2 linked regions of the Arabidopsis thaliana genome follow. The protein of the gene in region 2 interacts with the protein of the main gene of each other region in a pairwise test. Each region holds a gene or a part of one and is shown on either strand. Other genes may lie near its edges. The genes, in order: NAP1;1 and AT3G62870.

Region 1 (3,922 bases), on a different chromosome or scaffold from region 2:
AGCCTGCATCAAAGAACGAGAAAGAGTTACTAAATACATTAACTAAATGATGACAGGTTTTTCTAACAATCGTTATCTTACTCTTTCCTCGTCGATATCTTCATCTTCATCCGGAACTTCTGGAGGACTAAAGAAGTTGAAGAAGCTTTCACAATCTTCGAGTTTGGTGATTGGTTTAGTATTCTTTGAACCTTTCTTAGGCTTCTTCTTGAGAATCTTCTGAGTTAGACACTTTCCAGGATACCAATCAATTTCTGTCCTGAAAATGAATGGTGAAAGAATAAGAATCCATTTGCAATATAAGCGAAGAAAAAAAATAAGCAGCTCAATGCAATCAGCTAATAAGCAGAATATACTTAAAAGTATACAACAATTGCAAGAGAGTATAAGTAGTTACCCCATAGCCTTCTCAAGCAGTGGCTCATCTTCATCAATCATATGATAAGACTTTGTCAAGACAGTGTTCTTAAAATACGGATTCGTGTCAAAGAAAAACTCAAGTTTGAATCCTTTAGGCTCTTCAATCTTGCACCACTTAATATCTTTAAGATATTTGAGAGCCCCTTCATCACGCTCTGTGACCTGACATAAATGACAATAAGTTATGCTCATATTCCATGGTTATGATTGGAGTGTTTATAAAACGAACACCAAAACTGCATATAGGCTACCTCCTCGGAAATAACATCGTTATTTTTCAGAGCTGTCAGCCAGAAACTTGGAACTCCTTTCTCTGCAATGAAAAACAGAGAAAAATGTTAAATTGTTTTTGTCTTTCCAAAAAGATTAACAACAAACAAAGAAGACATAGTGCTCATGAAGTTACCTTCTGCAGTTTTCTCCTCTCCTTGGTCCACCTTGGTATCATCCTCTGGAGCCAGTTCAACTTCAGTAGTGCCATTCACAATCTCATAACGCTGTGCCATTACAAGATACCAAGTAGAATTCATTAAGATGCACATAGAAAACTAACACTGCTGCAGATAAGTAAACATAAGCAAAAAGAGTATACACAGATCTACATTGAGTTTAGTAAAATGGTTTGTAAAACTTTCTCATTAACAATTACCTTGACATACAAAGGCTGATACAGCGTTTGATACTTGGCTTCAAGAATAGCTCTCTCCTCACGGAATTTTGCCTCTAGTTCATCATGTTGGCTCTGCGTGGAAAGAAGTCATCAGTAATCAAAACGCAACACCTTACTTTTGAAACTTTAAATTCAGATAAGCAGGGAGAAAACTCACACAAAACAAAACAAACCCCATTAAACGATATATAGCACACATAGTTTGGTAAAATGTGAAAGAAATTTCGCTAACCTGTATATCCCTCAAGGCATCAACGCGCTTTCTCACATTGGGAGTCAGATTCTCGAGCACATCAGAACGCTGACCAGCCAGATTCTGCAGCTTGTTCTGTGAATTAATAACAATGTATTAACAACTCATAAACTATCATTGTACTAGAAGAATGACATTGAAACCAAAACACTAAACACCAAGACACGGCTTATAGTATCTAAACAATCAGAGGAAAGTAACTCAACATCCTCCATATCTTTCAATAGCAAATGCTCACGGGACAGTTTACAGAAGGGGAAAAAAACTCACCTTTAGAGCATTGACAAGGCCAGCTCGATCCTCGTCCTTAAGAGCTGCAAAAAAACAGTAAACAAAAGGAACACCAGTCAGATAACAGAGGAAATTAGGGTTAAAGCAGCTCTGGCTTAAGAGGCGGAGAAAGAGATAAGAGTAATCGTGAGTAGGAGTATTTTACCAGCAGTAAGATCGGAGACGTTGAAGCTATCCTTGTCGTTGCTCATCTTCTGAGGATTTGGTGAAGAGAGAGATTTTGAAGAAGAAGAAGCAGAAGAGACTAGGGACAAGGGTTTTGGGGAGGCGACTCGTAACCCTTAAATCCTCTTTGTTTTTTTGTTTTTTTCTCTCCCTCCTTTTCACACCAAAATTATAACAAATGCCATTTTAGTTTTTTCTCTTTTTATATATACTTTTCTTTCTCTAAAAATTGATGTTTAATGTTTTAAAAAGCAAAATTAAGTTTATTGAATTAAATAACATGCAAAACTTTACATACATATATATATGGATAATGAGAACTGACTTATATATAGATAATTAAAGTTTATTTATGAATTCAATCAATTATAAATATATATAACTAATATATAAACTTTAATTATCTATATAATTAAAATTTTGCATGTAATTATATTAATTATCTATATACTTATATATATATATATACACTTATATATATTTGATTCTTCACCAAATACAGTACAGGTTAGTGAACTTTAATGGGATCAAATAGAAGATTTCTGAATCTGTTAGTACTAAGGCCCATCCCAAGAATGAGCCTTCCAAGCCCAATACACTGATTACTTCTTTTGTTCACATACACTGTACATACTAATTAAAAACAAAAAACAGTCCACAACAAAAACAAAAAAACAGTCCACAACAAAAAGTCATATCCCAAAAGGCACAAAGATCTTTAGTTTGGTTTAAGCTCATCCCGAGTTCAAACGAATTAAACGTACTCTAATCTAGATTAGCTCATCACGACATTTTCAATTTGAAGTTTCAACCTTTTATACGTCTGACCAGAAACACAATAAAGAAGCCTCACGCGTAGCATTTTTTTTTAACCAGAAAACCATGAGACAAATTCAACCTAATCAGATAACTGTAAATCATTTCATTCATCCTATTAAAAGCAAAGGTGAAAAGCTTTTTGTACCTCCACGACTCCCACTTAAGAGAAACATTTTGTAGAGCTTTCAAGTCACGCGTAGCAAACACACCTGGTAAGTGGTCAATCTTTTTATATCATATAGCCATCATAAGAGTATCATTAATAGTAGTTTCTTAGCATAATCTTAATAGTTCTTATGAATATTTTTATAATTGATTTTGAAAATTTTGAAGTTAAGAATTTAGTTAAGAGATTGAAATTTTGGCAATATGCAATGGTGGACTCTTAACTTGAGTTCTTAAAAAAAAAATTGGAAAAAAAGTAGAAACATTATAATTTTAAAAAACTTAATAATTATTACAACTCAAAAAATTTGAAACATACATAACATAAAATTTTAAACAAATATGACAAACAATTAGATTTAATACTTAATTTATCTAAGAATTAAGATTAATTGAATTAAAACATTATATTTAATACCTAATTTATCTAAGAATTAACCTAAGAAACATTAGATTTGGCTCTTATATAAGAGTCATTTTTAACAATTAATTGAATTATAACATTAAATTTAAGACCTACTTTATCTAAGAACTAACCTTATAAACTATGAATAATGATGGTCTAAGCGCGCTTGTTGTTGAAACTCTCAAATAAACCGGATAATTTTAAAACCAGGTTTAGTTTAGTTGGTAGATTCGGCTCAAATAGTAGTATTTTTGTGGATTTAAAGATGCTCAGCATGTATATACATATGTGTTCTATAGATGTTTTACACATTTTTTCTATTTTACTATTCTGCTTGCCATAATCATTAGATTGTTTGGTTGAACCGAAGCATAGAAACCAAACCGAACATAGCACACAGCAACAAAACCGGAATCATTCAGAGGTAAATAATTTTTTTACATTACCCGCAACTGCAAGGAAAGAGGAAAAAAAAAAAGACGCAAACTTTGAGAAAGACATCCTCATCGTTTTCTGTCCATCGAAGCTCTTTTTTTTTTTTTTTTTTTTTATCTTCGTATTCAATTCTTGAGAGGAGAGAGAGAGAGAGAAGCATCCCAGAAAACGACATTCTGTTCATATGGAGTTTTTTCACCAGATCGAGAGCACGAAGAAGATGATTACTGGGTTTTGATTTAGTCGGCGAAAAATCCGTAATCTCATTGTTCGTGATCTCTGGGTTGTTTTTCTGGAT
Region 2 (3,922 bases):
CCCAGCTTTGGCATAAGCATTGACCACAGAGTTCCAGGCCGGTAAATCCTTCGAGCCCGAGTCATCGAAAACTCGCTGAGCTGATCTCAAGTCGCCACAGGAAGAATACATGTTGAGCAGTGAAGTTCGGACAAATGGGTCTTTGTCAAGTCCAAAAAGAAGAATCTGAGCATGAGTTCGTTGCCCAAGAGGAAGATGAAGCGGATTGTGGAAAGAAGGGAGAAGAAACGGAAAGGTATGAAAATCGGGAGAGACGCGATGGTTGCGCATACGGAGGTAGACTGAGATCGGAGAATGTCGTTGAGGCGACGAAACATTGTGAACAATGGCACGAATGATGATGTTCCACAAGAAAGATTCAAGCTTTAGATGTCGAATATGAAAGATGGGATTTGCATAAGCTATTATTGCCGCCCCCTTGCTCATTGTCTCAATCTAACAAGTGTATCAGAAATCGATTTTAAATATCAAGTACGGTTTTGACAAAACCGAATTGAACCGGTATTTAAATGAATATTTGGTTTCTTAATCAATGTACGGACGGAGAGGTAACAAAACAAAAGGGTTTTGTCCTAATTCAATTTTGCAGAGATGGAGGAAGAATTGCTCTCCGCCGTGCCGTGCTCTTCCCTAACCGTCGAGTCAGTTCTCCGTGTCGCGACGGTAATCACTAGTATCCAATTGAAATTCATGTTTGTGTTAGTGTGTGTATAGATAGATGTCTGAGATTTTTGTTGAAGCTCAGGCCGGTGGATTATATGGGTTATGCGCCGGACCTCGTGACGCTCGTAAAATAGGTATTGAAATTAGCTTTGATTTAGAGAGTTTTTACACTTTTCAATTCATTAATCTGTGCTTTGTTGCTGATTTGCTTCGCCAGGTTTAAGCGGCGTTTCTCAGGCTTCCTTTGTGGCGAAATCCATTGGCAGATTCGGATTTCAATGCGGTAATTTGCTTCCTCTATTGTTTTTCCACCCAAATTAATCTTCAATGACTATGGAATTTGGGTATAAATCTGTAATTTTGGACTTAAGATAATTCTCTTCTTTGTCACTAGAAGAAGAATGCTGCATATACTTTTTTTTTGTTTTGAAAGATCATAATTCTCTGTTTTGCTTGCCATGTAATAATATATAATGCAGATTTCTTTTAGTTGTAATTTTTTTTGGATTAGTTGCTCTGCTCTTCTTTAACTTAGATCTAAATTCTTCAAGTAGTGATTGCTTCTTTAGATTTTGGTATATGCATCAAGAATTCATTTTTGTTTCAGGTCTTGTAAGTGGTGTGTTTACTATGACACATTGTGGGCTTCAACGATATCGAGGCAAGAATGATTGGGTGAATGCTTTGGTAGGAGGAGCTGTGGCGGGAGCAGCTGTTGCCATTAGCACAAGAAACTGGACACAGGTTGTTGGCATGGCTGGCCTCGTCTCTGCTTTTAGTGTTTTGGCTAATTGCACCAGGACAGAAAACCCAAACAACACTAATTAAGGTGATATTTAGAACACTGAATTTTGCTAATAATGCGAGTGTCTGTCGCAGCCACATTCACCGGATATTGAAACTATCTTATAAGCTTGCAGGTCTTTGACAAGTCCATTCAAGAAACTGTATGGAATTGGAACTTGAAGATCAATACACTGACTCTCCGGTTCGATCCTATTTAGTTGGCTGAACCCGTGGATGGTTCTTCTTTTCTATAGACCACACTTTTGGTCTTGTCTCTCTGTAGTCATCATGTACACACAAAGTCCCTCGAACCCGAAACCGTATTTGCATCAATGCTTATTACTGTATAATGTTATTTACAAGATAGAGATAGTCATAGAAAAATTAAAACATCAAAACTGATTTTTAATAAAGTGTATGTTAATAGCCATGCTGTTTCTTAGGAAAGCCAGTTTATTCACGAATCCACCATTTTTCTACTTCAAAATTTATAAATGTATTTCACTCTTTTTGATATGATTCTTTTTGTTCTATATGCTTTTTTGAATACTAAAAGCTATCAGATCGTTCGTTGTGTAATTTTTTTCTATAAAAAATATCGTTGATTTAATAAAAAAATATAGAAAGTAAGATATAAAGATCATGAATATATAATTTTCTTGACGAAAAATTATTTTCTTGATATTCAGAAAATCTATATTGAGAGAGCAATACGTGTCCAAAAACGTAATTTTCTCATCTGGGCTTCTGAGGAAAAAAAATATTTGTATCATTTGGGCTTCAGTGTCTTTATAAATAGTGAAAACACAAAACCCTAAGAGTCGCTCTTGCTCTCAGCCGTCTGTCTTACCTCCAGAAGTCGACGACAACAATGGTACGCCGCTTTTACACCATTTTGCAGCTTTCATTGCCACTTTCGTTTGTTTAGGATCTGTATTAGCTCTTTGTTTCCTCGAATTTGAGCTTCTTTCGTCAAATCTATATTGGAATCTGGCTTATACTTATGTCCCTGAGGATTCTGGCTTTGTTTGATTTCGTAGTTTGTATAGTGAATGCATCGATGCTATGGTGATATGTGACTCTTGTTTCTGATGCTTATCGCCGTTTGTTGTTGATTCATAGGCACCGAAGAAGGGAGTTAAAGTGGCTTCAAAGAAGAAGCCGGTATGCTCTCTTAGCTTTTCCTTTAAGCATTGTTTGTTTTTCTCTGAGTATTATTATTAGTCTTGGTGGAGTTTCTCATTAGATTTGTTGTTGTGTGTATTTTAGGAGAAAGTTACCAACCCATTGTTTGAGAGACGCCCAAAGCAATTCGGTATTGGTGGCGCTTTGCCTCCTAAGAAGGATCTTTCTCGTTACATCAAATGGCCTAAGTCAATCCGTCTTCAAAGGCAGAAGCGTATCCTTAAGCAGAGGTTGAAGGTTCCTCCAGCTCTTAACCAGTTCACCAAGACCCTTGATAAGAATCTCGGTTAGTCTCTTTTTCTTATGGTTATTCAGAAATCTATATGTTTGTATGATCAGTTGCTTAATGTGTGTCATGTAATTGCAGCCACCAGCCTCTTCAAGATTCTTCTGAAGTATAGGCCAGAGGACAAAGCCGCAAAGAAGGAACGCCTTTTGAACAAGGCTCAAGCTGAGGCAGAAGGAAAGCCTGCTGAATCCAAGAAGCCCATTGTTGTTAAGTATGGTCTCAACCATGTGACTTACCTCATCGAGCAGAACAAGGCACAGCTTGTGGTCATTGCACACGATGTTGACCCTATCGAGTTGGTGGTCTGGTTACCTGCACTCTGCAGGAAAATGGAAGTCCCTTACTGCATTGTTAAGGGAAAATCTCGTCTTGGAGCGGTAAATAATTCACCACTCCATGGATGTAAACTTCCATTAAGAGTTTTTCTTACTTTAATGTTTTCACCCTAATTTATGTTCATTTCCTGCTTCTACTCTCCAGGTCGTTCACCAGAAGACTGCTGCTGCCTTGTGCTTGACCACTGTCAAGAACGAGGACAAGCTTGAGTTCAGCAAAATCCTCGAGGCCATCAAGGTAATTAGCTGAATCAGCTTTTGACAATGGAATAGTTTTGAAATGATACTCTCATGTAGTCTTCAAACCATACTCTTAACGTGTTTTTTTGTTGGTGTGAATAGGCTAACTTCAACGACAAGTACGAGGAGTACAGGAAGAAGTGGGGAGGTGGCATAATGGGATCCAAGTCTCAAGCCAAGACCAAAGCTAAGGAGAGGGTTATTGCTAAGGAGGCTGCCCAGAGAATGAACTAGGCATCATACCTTATGTTCTCTGCTATGAAACATATGATAATGGTTTTGTTGTTTAGCGATATTTTGAAACCTTGTTTTATTTTAATTTCTATGCTCTTTCGGATGTTACCACCCTCTTCAGAATTTTATGCAGTTTTGTTATCAATTTCACATATAAACTTTTATTTGCAAAATAAATCCTTACTTTATT

The links.
Region 1: the proteins of AT3G62870 (region 2) and NAP1;1 interact in binary tests that used the Arabidopsis thaliana proteins (3 or more experiments, as listed by UniProt).

Annotation. Positions count from the first base shown.
Region 1 is NC_003075.7:13,230,615-13,234,536, reverse strand, and holds the start of NAP1;1 (nucleosome assembly protein1;1), read right to left. Parts: upstream 1,970-3,922; 5' UTR 1,826-1,969; coding exon 1,780-1,825; intron 1,658-1,779; coding exon 1,614-1,657; intron 1,419-1,613; coding exon 1,323-1,418; intron 1,163-1,322; coding exon 1,070-1,162; intron 918-1,069; coding exon 827-917; intron 734-826; coding exon 672-733; intron 583-671; coding exon 398-582; intron 260-397; coding exon 82-259; intron 4-81; coding exon 1-3. UniProt on the Arabidopsis thaliana protein: May modulate chromatin structure by regulation of nucleosome assembly/disassembly. Contributes to the regulation of cell proliferation and cell expansion. May function in nucleotide excision repair (NER). Involved in somatic homologous recombination.
Region 2 is NC_003074.8:23,242,672-23,246,593, reverse strand, and holds the start of AT3G62870 (Ribosomal protein L7Ae/L30e/S12e/Gadd45 family protein), read left to right. Parts: upstream 1-2,196; 5' UTR 2,197-2,320; coding exon 2,321-2,323; intron 2,324-2,571; coding exon 2,572-2,613; intron 2,614-2,718; coding exon 2,719-2,920; intron 2,921-3,001; coding exon 3,002-3,300; intron 3,301-3,403; coding exon 3,404-3,496; intron 3,497-3,600; coding exon 3,601-3,732; 3' UTR 3,733-3,922. Other genes in the region: AT3G62890 (Pentatricopeptide repeat (PPR) superfamily protein), read right to left, coding at 1-426; ATOEP16-4 (Mitochondrial import inner membrane translocase subunit Tim17/Tim22/Tim23 family protein), read left to right, coding at 592-663, 746-797, 881-946, 1,271-1,491.